2 linked regions of the Danio rerio genome follow. The protein of the gene in region 1 purifies or fractionates together with the protein of each later gene. This does not show direct contact. Links are inferred from orthologs where the notes say so. Each region holds a gene or a part of one and is shown on either strand. Other genes may lie near its edges.

What was found. The genes of interacting proteins can lie anywhere in the genome.
Region 2: the proteins of cuedc1b (region 1) and smurf2 purify together in Homo sapiens (co-immunoprecipitation; 3 studies listed by BioGRID and IntAct, with this or other methods). This does not show direct contact. The link is inferred for Danio rerio from reciprocal best matches to the Homo sapiens genes CUEDC1 and SMURF2.

The regions. Positions count from the first base shown.
Region 1 is NC_133190.1:33,800,885-33,808,496, forward strand, and holds part of cuedc1b (CUE domain-containing protein 1b), read right to left. Parts: intron 6,390-7,612; coding exon 6,262-6,389; intron 5,716-6,261; coding exon 5,589-5,715; intron 3,111-5,588; coding exon 2,885-3,110; intron 2,609-2,884; coding exon 2,540-2,608; intron 1-2,539.
Region 2 is NC_133178.1:24,031,449-24,039,060, forward strand, and holds part of smurf2 (E3 ubiquitin-protein ligase SMURF2), read right to left. Parts: intron 7,025-7,612; coding exon 6,921-7,024; intron 5,132-6,920; coding exon 5,017-5,131; intron 4,406-5,016; coding exon 4,227-4,405; intron 2,348-4,226; coding exon 2,210-2,347; intron 2,124-2,209; coding exon 2,003-2,123; intron 1-2,002. UniProt on the Homo sapiens protein: E3 ubiquitin-protein ligase which accepts ubiquitin from an E2 ubiquitin-conjugating enzyme in the form of a thioester and then directly transfers the ubiquitin to targeted substrates.

The DNA of each region.
Region 1 (7,612 bases):
CAGAGTTCATCATTATCCCTGCATGAATATTTGAGGTAGTTTTCAATTGCTGCTGCGTTTACACTGCTCTATGGATCTGTGACAGGATGTTACACACTGCATGTCTTTACTACAGAAAGAATTGCCTAACAACTGTCTGTATGTTGCATGTGAAAAGTGATAAGGAAATAGCACATGCTTAGACAAGACATCGAGAAGGAACATTTGGGTGTTCCTGCCAAAGTTCAACAAACTCTTCCCATTTCTGAAAGAGAATCAACGTTCTTGGAAAGCTATGTTTCCTGACATTGTGGTCTATAACTCCTCCCCAAACTCCTCGCTGCCCTATATTTTGCTCTTTCATTGGCTGTGGACCATCGCTAGCCCCACATAAAAATTTGCACTCACAGATATTTTTTTAGTCAGGCATAAAATTATTTATTGACGTAAATGAGTGTAAATACTTATTTATTCAGTTCTTATATACATTTTATCACTATTATTAAATAATATGCAAATATTTAGATGATTTTTCTACAAACACAACTCGTAAATCAGTATTTGCAATGCCTTTTAGTGGATATCTTATTATATGAGAGAGCTACTACGGCTATGATTACCCAAGTAACATTTTTAAAATTGTATTTAAGTAAATGTGTGTAAACACTTTTTTTTCAGTTCTTATATACATTTTATGACTATTATTAAGTAATATGCAAATATTTAGATGATTTTTCTACAAACACAACTTGTAAATCAGTATTTCCAATGCCCTTTAGTGGATATCTTATTATATGAGAGAGCTACTACGGCTATGCTTACCCAAGTAACATTTTTAAAATTGTATTTATGTAAATGTGTGTAAACACTTTTTTTTCCAGTTTTTAATATACATTTTATCACTATTATTAAAAAATATGCAAATATTTAGATGATTTTTCTACAAACACAACTTGTAAATCAGTATTTCCAATGCCCTTTAGTGGATATCTTATTATATGAGAGAGCTACTGCGGCTATGCTTACCCATGTAACATTTTAAAAATTGTATTTATGTAAATTTGTGTAAACACATTTGAATTCCTTTTTTATGTACATTTTATTACTATTTACAAATAATATGCAAATATTAAGATGATTTAGGTACAAATACAACTTGTAAAGCAGTATTTTCAATGCCTTTTAGTGGATGAATTATATGATCATATGTATATGTGTTTACCCAATTCAAAATTTTAAATGGTCCAGACCAAAAATGTTGTTTATTTGGGTTATGATTCTGCACCAATAGGACTGAAAAACCTGACAGTCCCATTTGCAATGAATATAATCCCCGATATTTGATTTGCATTTAACGCATAGAGGTGAGTGGGTTGCATTGAATTTATGTCTTAATTTAGTTGTGATATGAATTCTATGAAGGATTCTGAGTTGAACGGCTCTGGCCCTGTTGCAAACTGAAAGCTTATTGGCTAGAGACCAAACCATCTTCCATTCAACATTTTTAAATTCTATTTATGTAAATGTGTGTAAATACATTTTATTCAGCTTTTACATACAATTTATTACTATTATAAAATAATATGCAACTATTTAGATGATTTAGGTGCAAATATAACTTGTAAAGCAGTATCTTCAATGCCTTTTAGTGGATGTATTATATCTATGGGACAGCTATGGCTATGTTTACCCAAGTATCAGTTTTAAATTGTATTTATGTAAATGTGTGTAACTACATATCCATTCAGTTTTTATACACATTTTATATCTATTATTAAATAATATGCAAATATTTCAACAATTTAGGTACAAATACAACTTGTAAAGCTGTATTTCCAATGCTTTTTAGAGGATGTATTATATGAGAGAGCTATTATGACTTTCATTACCCATGTAAATGTTTTATAAATTGTATTTTTTAAGATCTCAGCTCTTTTACTATAATTTTCTGCACAGAAACAACAAAAAAGTCTGTCTATTCTGTCTGGCCAATGTATTTTTCAGTGAGAACTCTTTTCACATTGGACGATTTTGACTCAAAGACAGGTCCAGATATTTAGCATGCAAAATATTTCATGAATTCTCTCTGATCATGTCTTTGATAATTCACGCTGCATGACTCTTAATAAGTTGAACTGCCTCAGATTTCAGAAATTTGCTGGCAACTTCACAAAACCGCCAGCGAGTGAAAGCTGGCTAAAATCATGCAGTGTGAACTTGGCATTATAGTTTCATTCTGAAGGCCTGTAGAAGTAATTGATAAACATCCCATCAGATTGGTTTTGAGAATCTAAGAGTACATGGATCCTTTTCACAATATTGTTATCATTATGTTTTTTTTCCCGAAGAGGTAAAGGAAAACATTTCTTTTTTTAAATACACTCTTATCAAATAAACTTGCCCTCAGTGTGGAAAAAAACCTTTGAGAATACTATTGTGGACAAACTAAAACATTTCCATATGAAAGGCTCAAATAGGGGTGCTTAGAAGTGTTAAAAAGGGAAAATAATGCATATGCACAGACACGCCAACATGCACAGACACAGTGAATGATATCTACCTGAGGAGTTCTCCATGCTAGCTGATGAATGACTGGATTTGGATTTCTTTGACTCGTATTTCAATCGATCTAAAACACAGAAGGCAGGTGTTATGGTAAGAAAACTATACCTTCTTCATTTAAATAGGATATGAACGTCTCGATGACTATTCATATCAAATAATTAGTGTGTATGACAAAGTATAACAATATCTCGCTGTGTGAGGAAAAACCAAAACAGTCAGTGTCTACGAAATTAGCATAAGAACTGACTTTGTGGAGGTGGATCTGTGAAAGGATGGGGAAGTGGAGTATGTCAGAAAGTGCTCATTGTCTGGTTTAGTGTGTGGGCGAGAGTCTTCCTACCTCTTTCCAACGCAATAAGGAACTCACGGTTCCTCTGCAGCTCCTTCATGAACTCTTCGTTTTGCAGGAAGAGAGCAATACGTTCATCTTCCAAATATTGCTTTAGTTTGCGCTCCTGCTCTGAAGCCCCGGCGGCTGTTCCCGCTGCAGCCACCACTTTCTGGGCTATTGTGGTGGACGAGGAGGAGGTGGAGGAGGAAGGGTTAGAGGTGCTACTCTGAGAGCCCTGCAAAATATTGAAGAGAGTAAAAATTACTCTCATACAAAATTCAACAACTTGAAAAACCTATCAAACTTAACAACCAGGCTTGGTCGGATCCTCATAGTCAGGATGTTGTACATAAACATAAAATATTTTAAGAAAGTTGTCTACTGCAATGAGATTATTTTTTTAGATAGCTCAAGTAAAAAACCCAGTTTAATTAAATGATTCATTCATCAAAGACATAATATATCAAAAAGGGTTTCCACTTTTATGAACAGCAGATTCAAGGACTTTTTAAAGCACCATTAAAGATGCAGTAGGTGATTGTCTTCAGAAGCATTTTTTGTTGTGCTGGTTGAAAGTCTCTTCACAGTCTAATAGTAATGATTAAAGTAAATGATCTAAATGTATTTATAAGGGTTTTTATATTTTGGTTAAGGCATAAAACTAAAAAATGTTCATCAAATTAAATAGAGTCGGGCCGACATCTCTCATAATTCTGTCAGCAAATGCAGATTTGAACAACTGCGCAGACGTTTGTACGCATCTCCGCCGATTGCTGTTTGTGTTGTGCATTCATGTGAGAGGGAGAGAGAGCATGCGAGATCGGTAAAAACCTGCTGAATCAAAACTTTTTAAAAACCTGAATCAGTATTGGAGTTACCTTTGCACCCTGGAGAAAGGATGACACCATGGCTGAAGGATTTCTTTTAGACAGGTAATGTTCTGTTTTAAAACTGTTTTAGCTTCACGCAAAGCTGATGTAACGCTAGATGTTGTTGTCACAAATGGGTTACATCTTCACAGAAGTTTTTCAGCCACTAAAATCTTCCGATGAAAGATTGATAAGACTATTTTCAGTTTGATAAGGGACCTTTTACAGCATAGATAATGTAGATTTTAATTAGTTTAACAACAAAACACAAGTAAATACCGCTATTCCGCCTAGTCTCTCCCTATATTGTTTACCATGCAACTCTAAATATTCGCTCTGAAATAGCATGTCAGTTTGGCTTAGTAATGAGTGTAATTCCGGTTTCCCCCACAGTCCAGACATGCAGTATAAGTGAATTGAATAAACTAAATTGACTGTAGTGTAAGTGTGTGTAAACGGGAGTGTGTATGATTGTTTCCCAGTACTGGCATCCGCTGTGTAAAACATGGATGCTGGATAAGTTGGCGGTTCATTCCACTGTGGCGACCCCTGACGAATAAAGGAACTAAGCCGAAGGAAAATGAATGAATGAAATACTATATCATTTAAACAGCCTTTTTATTATTTAAAAAAATGAACACATGCCATTTTAATCTTACACAAAGCTCAATTACCATGCATTTTCCCATCTCTCTGATTGGCAGGATATAATTGGTCATGTTAACAAGCTGTTTTTAACTCTTAAAGTGCTGGTATCTATTGACTTGCATCTTATGACAATTTCAGCTAAAAATCTACTTTAATGTTAAAAAAAAAAGTTAAAACCTACACCTAGATGGTCCGGAGGTGACTAAAAATATCTTTTTATTGGAATGAAAATATGCCTTATTTATTTTTTTTACAATATAACCTAGACTACTTTAATACTATTAGAAAGTCACGGCTACATAGTGAACAGAAAAACATTTGATTTGTATTTGAATGCTCATCATATGCAAGATGACTGCATCTGTACAACGGAACAAGAATGTCATTAAAGTTGATAAAGCCATTCAGAAAGCAAGAAATGGAATAAGAGCTTAAAAGCAAATGCTCATTGGTCTCCCTGCTGCACCTCTTTACTGCATTAGCAAGTTTTAATGACCTCTAATGATGTTTCTGAACCATTCACAGCTCTTTAATATCATTGAATAGCAAAAGAGCTTGAGCAAAATCAAAAGGCAAAAAAGTTTTGGCACCAAGCATTGTCATGATTATTAGAAAGTTTAAAAGAACTTAAAACTTCTGTGAAGTGCTTTGAAACATGCATTTATTTATTTATTTGAAATCTGATGTAATCACAACTCAAACATGAAGAGATGGCTAAAACAGCTAATAGCTTTTTGATTTTATCATCGCTCTGTCAGTGAAAGAGGTTGAGATCATGTGCATCAAATGAAAGTGTCTTGAAGGGGGCAGGACATGTCAGATACTGTAGAGCATTCGATTGGTCAGAAGATTTGATGAGAAACTGAAGTATGAGGTCATGTCAAAACAACTCAAAAAGTTGATTCATTTAGGTGGAAGTGACAAAATGCAAGCTTTGGATGTTTATATGAGGTTCATATATTCTAAATGTAAAATTTGTCACTGTTTTGGAGTACACCAGCTTTCAGATAGCCTTAAAACTACATACTGATACTAACATCTAAAAAAATCTTTATTTTAATTGCACAGGACCTTTTAATAAAATATGTTTAGTGACACTATAGATGATGTTGGATTATAAAAATAATTTCACACAATTTTGCAGAAAAAAATACAGTGATTTTCTTCAAACGGGTTTCACTTCCATTAATGCTCACCTGTATACTGTCTAACTGTTGAGGCAGGATTCGCAGGAAGTCATCAGGCAGATTGCCAAGTAATGGTGGGTTCCAGTTTTTGTAACCTTGTACTTGCCTGTGTCCAGGGGGAGGCTGGGCCTCAAATCTGCAAGATAACAGAGCCCAGTGTCACTGACCCTCATTTTATTAGCACATTGAAAAAAATGATTTCTGCAAAATTGTTGTAAACAATTTTTATTTGTTGAATTAAAACAAACAAATTACATGTAGTAATTTTTAACTTAATTTTTTGTTTAAATTCAGCCAAAATAAATTGTTTACAACCACTTAATGTAAAAAAAAAAAAGTAAATCCAAGGAATCATCTTTGAATAATTTTTTTTCAGTGCAGCTCTCAAATTTCACAATCGTCATAATTCAATTACAGCTGCTACAACGTGTGTGACCCTTTCAGTACTCGTGCATTCATGAGTATTACATTCATGGATAAATAGAATTACATGCTTAATGGTGATTACACCACAAAAACAAGGCTTAACGGGAATTGCTGTTTGTTTTTTGAACACCAGGGGGCATCAATTACAGAACTGTGACTAAAGGAGACCCCATCTGCTTTTCTGAGTCTGGATCATTTTAAAGTCCCTTTTTGTTGGAGGTGGAAATAAATATAAGTAAATAACATTTCTTTTTACCTGGGTGGAGGAACAGGAGGAGCTTCAGGGTATTTCCGGTCATATATATGCATGTCATATGTTGGTGGTGAATAGACAGGTGGTGGCTCTTCATCTGAGCTGTCTGGCTCGAGGGTTCGTTCAAGAATCTGATTTAAAAAAAAAAAGAAAGAAGTCAAAATGATTGCAATTAGCAGCAACAAGAAACTTTCAAAATGAATCTACACAACACATTTACTCGTGTAACATTAGCCAGCCATAAAACCAGTAATGGGAGCAATGCAATTCTTTACTCTTTTTTTTGGCAGCAGGTCGATAGTAGTATTGAATAGTATTGGCTTAAATCTAATTGTTTTAATTGAGTTTGTTAATATTCAAATTTAAAAAAGTCAACAGTAAATGGCTGTTATGTAATACAACAGCTTTTTCATTATACTGCAGATCAATGCTTGCTGTGTATTCCAAAGCATATGCAAAATTTATTCCTGCATATGTATACCTGAAAAGGAACTGCTTCTTAGACAGACAGACAGACAGACAGACAGACAGACAGACAGACAGACAGACAGACAGACAGACAAAACAACAGAACAATTAATAGAACAACAGAACAAAAGATAGAACGATAGATAGAAAGATAAATAAAACGATATAACAAGATAAAAAGATAGAATGACAGAACAATAGATAGAATGATAGATAGATAAATAGATACATAGACATACAGAATGATAGATAGAACAATAGATAGACAGACACAGACAAACAGACAGACAGACAAAACGATAGAACAATAGATAGAATTACAGAACAATAGATAGATGGATGGATGGATGGATGGATGGATCAATGGATAAACAGATAAAACGATATAACAAGATAGAAAGATACAATGACAGAACAATAGATAGAATGATAGACAGACAGACAGACATAATAATAGATAGAATTATAGAATGATAGATAGATAAATTAATAGACAGATACACATAGACAGACAGACAGACAGACACACATAGACAGACAGACAGACAGACAGATAATTGGAACAATAGATAGAATAATAGATAAATACATAGATAGAACAATAGACAGACAGACATAAAAAGATAGAACAATAGTATAGAATTACAGAACAATGGATAGAACGACAGATAGAACGATAGAACGATAGAACGATAGATAGATAGATAGATAGATAGATAGATAGATAGATAGATAGATAGATAGATAGATAGATAGATAGATAGATAGATAGATAGATAGATAGAACGATAGAACAATAGATAGATAGATAGATAGATAGATAGATAGATAGATAGATAGATAGATAGATAGATAGATAGATAGATAGATAGATAGATAGAACGAT
Region 2 (7,612 bases), on another chromosome or scaffold:
TAATTGTAAATTACTGGTCAAAGACTGTAAACAGAAATGACCTCCTACATTTATGCACCGAATGAGGGATGTAAGGAAAGATGTGGAAGTGGAGAAAATCAGATTCTCCCAAATAAAAAAAGACAAATTCTTTCAAATCTGGCAACCTTTATAGATTTTTTTTAAGTTATACAGGAAATATTTAAATTGAAGAGGATTATACTAAGTTATATTAAAAATAAAGGCCAGCATTTATTTATTAGTTTTTATTTATTTTTCATTTTATTATTTATTTAAAAAAATACTACCCTCACCCTTTGATAGACTAGACAGATTACAGTTTGGACTGTAGAGGTAGAGTAAATACACTTTATACATCACTTATAGTATCACACTATTTAAATATGATAATTGAGGGCTTCTGGAAGAGAGAACTCAATATAGTTATTGATCAGGATTTTGTCTGGGAGAACTGTTTTGTAACTTCAAAAAACCAGTTCACCAAATGATTCATTATGAATTAATGTTTAAGCCTTATGCTACCCCTTACCTGTTAATTCAAGTGAAAAGAAAATCAGACCCTTTTTGTCACTTATGAAACAACTCTACACTAGCTACCTATTTACATATGTTCAGAGAATGTCCCCAAATTGCATTATTCTGGTCCAAAGTACGAGACCTACCATCAGATCTAATGGAAACTTAGATCCAATATAACCCATTGCATTTTCACATGCTGGACGATTCATCACTCTCCTTATCCATCAACAAAAGTGTCATGATCATCAGCGATCTAACCTTCATAAATCGCTTGAGAACATTCACATTTACACGGACTAAAACCCTGTCAATATTGTCATGCAACATACACACAACATACACACACACACCTGCTTCAAGTCTCCATTGATTACACTTATACAGCTGATGCTGCTCAAGTACTGATTACATGCACATTTATATCAGCTCATTTTGACACACTCCTTACTGAGCCTTGTTTATCTGTGAAGTTAACACTACGACACGTTTTCCTTGCCTTGTTGTGTTGAGACCCTCGCCTTGTTTGTTTCTTTACATTGTCTGCTGCCTGCCTTTTGACAATCTGCCTGTTGACTGACCTTGAGTCTGGATTGCCTATATACATCGGTCTACCCCTGTGTTGACCGTTGCTTGTCTGACTATTCTTAATAAACCTGCATTTGGATCTGCACTTTGTTGTTGTCAGCGACTCTCTTATGACACAAAGAAGGATGTTGTTCTGACTGCAGCAAAAAAAAAAAAAATCCTAAAAATATGGCTGGATCCATCTGCTCCGGCTGATCTAACCTCGAGGCTCTATCTAATGGACTTTATTAGTTTGGAATACACCACAGGCAAAATAAATGGTGCCAAACTGTACATTAATTTCCTTTTCGGCTTGGTCCCTTTATTAATCTGGGGTCGCCACAGCAGAATGAACAGCAGCCAAACTGTACAATTTTGGTTAAATATGAAAGAGAATGTATCAGATATGTTTGAATCATGATTTTATACCTATTATTGCAGTATTACTATTTTTATTTTATTTTACTTTTTTTTTTGGTTAAATCTTGGGCTTTGTTTGAAATCAAAAATGTTCAATAAAAATATTTACATGTATTTATATATCATTTTTTACTTCCTTATGTACTGTTGGTATATTACATCTTTTATTGTTAATTGTTGTGTTTGTTGGACTAAAACTTGACAATGTGTTTGAATACTTAAAAAAAAATAAAGAAAGTTTATTCAATTTCTGGTCAAATGTTAGTGTAAGAATAGTCTATCATGACTGCTTTTTTAAATTTTGTTGAATACCGTTTCTTCAGGAGCCTTGTTCAGGGTTTAGAGCAGGGTTACTGGTCTGACAGTAGAAATGCAACATGAGTTTTGCCTTAGAGTTTGAGCTCTGAAGCCATTGGCCCGATTCCGTAAGCTACGGCTCTCACTGACACAGCCCAACACCTATTGAACATACATTTATAAAGGATTGGTGTTTTTATACCTCCAGTTCTTTCTCATCAAACGCTTTGAGCAGGTGTTGTGGAATGACTTCGTTGAAGCCTTTCTGCAGGGCCAGGAACTGAGCCTCGATGCCCCTCAGGAACCGCCAGTTCACATACAGCCTGCGCAGAAACAGGACATTTGATGACACCCACAGACAAGCATCAGAAAAGCAGGACTGAGAGGTTGACAGGTGTGAATATCTTACCTCACATACTCCTTCTTGGTGTCCTGCGTGACTGGAATGCTCTTGCCATTGGGTTTGAGCTCATGCTGAATGATCTCTCCATATGCATTGTGTTCAACGCAGAACGTGTGGTCCAACACCCCGGTGATGTCATTATCTCTGAACACAAAAACAGATAGAGGAAAAATAATTACTATTAATAGTGCACACACAATTATATATTCATGTATGTATATTAAAGTGATTAAAATATACTATATCATTTGCATAATTTTCTATGTATGTACATAGGGATGTCCAGATCCGATCACGTAATTGGAAAATTTGGGGTAGATCACACGCTTTCAGACGTTAATTCTCATTATTTTTTAACACATCTATAGTTTATGCGGTGGCACAGAGTTAGACCTCTTCCTTGACAGCAACGCGTGCAGCATGACATTACTTTGTTACAGAGACGCTATTGGTTAAATGTCAGCAAAGTAGAACATACTTGAAGCGCAAAGCGCGAGTATGTCTGCGGTCTGGAGGTATTATAAAGTTGATGAAGACAACATTGCTATAGAAAACTGTGAGATATGTAAACTTGGAACTGTCTTCTGGGTATTTTAGAATGAGATGCTATTTGTTTTATATTAGTTTTTGTTTTATATTTACTGTTGCACTAAAGTCCAAAAGTGAAGAATTGATGTTATTAATTAATTGATTGTTCAAGCTACTTCACAGAAGTGCTCTATTTGTTAACAGATTTGTTGAATGTCAAAATAAGGTTAATTACAAAAAAGGAACATCCTGGATCTGTTTCTTTGCTCTTCTTTATTCTTTTTTATTTTTCATTGAAGTATTAGATCGGGTTTCAGTATCGGTAGACACGAAATCAAATGACTCGGACTCGAGGGCAAAAAAACCTGATCGGAAAATCCCTATATGTACATATATCTGTTATGTGTTTTTATCCCTTATTTGCCACTGGATTTAATATTTAGATAATTACATTTTCGTATAAAGCAACCTGGAATTCATAACTGCATTTTAGGATCATCTAATAACTACAGTATTTTCTATAAAAAATGTTATTTCTTTCTGTTTGCCATTTAAATGTTTTAACAGCTTATTTTAAAACACCCTTTAGTTTTAGAAGTAAATTGATATGTTTTAGATTTAGTTATTTTATTTTAAAATTAGCCGATAAAACATGCCTTTTGCAACTGGTTGAAATGTAATAAAGTCTCTCGCTTGAAATTTAATTAATTTTAATAATTTATTCTTATTAACTTTCTTTATTTATCTGGGGTTGACACAGCGCCAACATATGTTTTACGCAGTCTTTCCAGCTGCAACCCATCACTGGGAAACATCCATACGCACTCATAAACTATCTTTGGACTGCGGGGGAAACCGGAGCATCCGGAGGAAACCCACGTGGTCACAAGGAGAACATGCAAACTCCACACAGAAATGGCAACTGACCCAGCCAAAGCTCGAACCAGTGACCTTCTTGCTGTGAGGTGATCGTGCTATCCACTGCACCATCGTGACACCCCCATTTAATGATATATGCAATTAGACAAAATAATAATTATGGCTATGATATAGGCAACCTCCCCCCCATACTCTTTACCCCCACTCTCTTTTATGTATGCATTTTGGTTTGGTTTATTTACTAACATAATTTACATTAATAAGATGTACCCTTGAGGTATTAATATGGGCTTTTTACTTAAAAGTTTGTAACTTTAGAAAAGGTACCACACAAGTGACAGCTCGGGTACCTTTATTTCTGAGAGTGTATAATAACAACATTACATCAAATTAATCCTTCTATTTTAGTTAACTACAATACCTTTGTTTTTGGAAAGACACTTATGCGAGATTTATATACTCTAAATGTTTTATTAATTTTTTATATTAAATTTAATGATATTATTGGTAAAATACTCATACTATATTACTAGTCTATTAGTAATTACTACTAATAATACTACATATCAAAGAATTCATCATGCATGCAATAGATGGATATGTTAAGCACACTGACAGGATCCAGACGAGGCTGTTGTGCAAGTCCGGATCCACTGACTCCATGTCATCCAGAGTGATAGGTTTGCCTAGCAACTGCTTGTAGAAGGGCAGAGTGAAGCCCCCGTCTATATAGTGACCATGGAAAACAGCCATTCCCATAATCCTCCCCACAAAGTGGAAATAAGACAAATGCTCCTATAAAACAAACATAAAAACATGTGAATTTTGTAAAGCGCTTGCATTCTAGACAGCTGCACGATATTGGAAAAAATCTGATATTGTGATATTTTATTTTTCTGCAATAAATATTGCAATATAAATACGGTTTCAGATGATGGTTTGAATAGCACTATTAGATGGTTTTCTGGGGATTTGCGCACAGAAATGGAATAAATCACAATGCAAAAAATGCCTTTCTTACTTTGTTTTGTCTTGTTTCTAGTCCAAAAATCAAAAAATTCTTAGACCAAGTAAAATATTGTTTAGTTTTCACTGATTTTGCTTGTTTTAAGGAAAGTATCTGCCAGTGGGGTAAGTTAATACTATTGTTTTTGCTATTAAATGTAGATATTTAGACTAGAAACAAGAAATGGCCTTTGCAACTCAAAGGCAGAGTTAGAGTTAGCAGAGTTATAACTGTAATTGAGATTTATAATTGAAATCACACAAGCATAAATTGATATAACAAATTAGGTACTATAAAAGAAACACTTTATATTTTTATAAAAAGCCAATCTCAAAATCTCAGCAGTGTCTTGTCTTAAGAATTATCAGTGTAGTTCAGAAGCTCGTGCACTTTCACTCACTGGATTGACAGCCGAGTCCGGGTTGATCTGTAGCGTGTAGATGTCATCTCGTGAATACTGGAACAGCCCATAGTATGGATTTAACATCTCGTGTGACAGCAAGTATAACCATTCCCTATGACACAAAAGCGCACAAACATTGGCACAAAATATTGACAGACATAAATCCACCATGACCCAATTTCACATCGTTATACTCTTATTCTACCACTAGATGGAAACAAGAGCCTGAAACAAAACATTTTTGACCCATTTTAACTTTCAGAATATTCAGCTTTTATATTAATGAAACAGAACATGATTCAAGAGCTGATTTAATCTATTAAGAATTGATTGTACTATGAAAATGAATAACATTATGGGTTAACAGGTTTCACTTTTGAAGACCTCAATGTATCATTAGGAGCTACAGTTATTAATTATGTTTTGTCTTTGAGTTTTTTCGGGACTCTCAAAGAACTTTAATAGTGACACTGGATGATCTATATTTGTCTAGAACTTTGGTTACTTTTCTTAATTGTAGTGTAAATAAACACACTGTTTACCCAGTAAAAAACAGCTCAGTTCAAAGGGACCCATTATCGACTGAAAAAATGCAGAACTTTGTTAAAACAAGGCTTTTTAAATGCTTTTGTGTTGTTACGAAGCATTTTGTTTTTAACCATACTTGAAATTATAGCTGACAAGCATTAAAATGCTGTGGGAAGTCATATTATTGACAAATCACTGTAAATATTAAGCTAAAGTTTTTATTAAGTTTATATAAAATCAAGAATTTGATGTGCAAAAGTGTCATATGTGCCAGAGAAGGAGTCTTAAGGTCTGCCTGCATTCATTCATGCTTCTTGTACAGAGCTGCATTGACATGAAACTTCTTTTCAAAGTGAAGTGCAATCTTGGATTGGAAATATTTACATCTTACATGCATCTTTGTAGACTCTCCTTTATATTACAGAAGTGAAATGCAAGGTTACTGTATTAAAAGTCTTTTTATGAATATGGCAATGTGATAACATGCTTTAGTATAATTTAACATATAACACATTTGTGCTTTAAGTATTTAACCAAATACTTGAAACAATTTGAATGGATCTGAGATGTGTTCCTGTGCATTTTTTATACTAATCAAAAAGAGAGAATCCAGAAGGCAAAAACATTTTTTTTATCGTCATGCAGTGATTCAGCTTTCTTTTCATTGTATTCATTGTTCACATACTGCACTTGTACCCAAACAATGATTAAGCACACTGTGCATGTTCTCTGAATAGGATGCATTTGTTCAAGATATTACAAAATATAGAAATGCTGTATACAAAATCAAGCATGGCCTTAGGATCTATAACAAACGAGTCATACACGCATACAAAACATTGCCTTTTTTTAAAGCCAGGTTAAAAACCCAGGAACAATTTGATGATTAACAAGGTCTTCCAGCTATTTAAGATCATGTTTTTCAACATGCTAAGCACAATTCTGACAGCTTTTTCCATTTAATTGATGGTGTCAGGAATGATATTTATGTCAGTGGTGAAATGAATCTGCTACTATATATGAAAATATTTATTTTTTTCCTTGAAACAGACAAAGGCCTAATCAAACTAAGATATAACTATCCCACATTTAATGTCCTTTTGTTATTTAATGTGGGACTTAAATACACTTTGTTATAAAAAGCACAGTAAAGTGACACTTTTTTTTTTTATAGTTTTGTTGCCATATTGTTTATGGGTGTTTTTTTAAGGATTAGTTTAAAGTATAAAATACATCCAGAAGGCTTTTTTAATCACAGAATAAAGCCAGACAGGCTTATTGACAGCCCGATGCAAAGCAGAACTGTTGTTCAAGACTGAACCTTTCACTTTTGAAAGTTTGAACATTTGTGATAGTGTAAAAAAAACACATACCTGGCGACTCCACCATAGTCAAGACCTTCCTCTCCTCTGAATTTGACCATCAGCCTCTTCCACAGGTCCTTCGGCCTCATCTTCATCACCTGCCGGTAAGACTCCTGAGGAAAAAGTGAAACACAGAAATTTTTACATGACAAATCTACTATTTTTGTTGATGAAACAGGGAAAAAAGAGAACAGAAATCCACAGATTTTTAGCCCATCGAGAATTGATTTACTTGTGTAAATGTTTGTCATTTTTTATTTATTCAGTTTTTAAATTAATTTCAGTAATTTTGACTAAGATTTTGACTAATATTAAAGTTATCATTTGATTTATTTACAACACAGTTTGTAAAGTAATATTGTCTGTGTTTTAGTAGAGATATTACATGAAAGAATTGATTCGTTGACCAAATAAATGAGTCTAGATGGATTTGCATTAAATTTTATTAAATAAAAGTTAAAAAGCGATTATTTTATATTTCATATATTTAAGTTTTTAGATTTGATACTGCAAAATAATTCTGCATGTGAACATAAATGAACAGATTTGTTGACAAAATTCTCTGCAGATATAGTAAAAAATGTCGGCATAATCTGTCTGGCACTACTTATGTGATTTTATTAAAATGATGTCACAATTTATCCAGTTCTCTCAAGACATATTTTGGTTTGACGTTTGCAAAGTGGATTACGATGTAAATT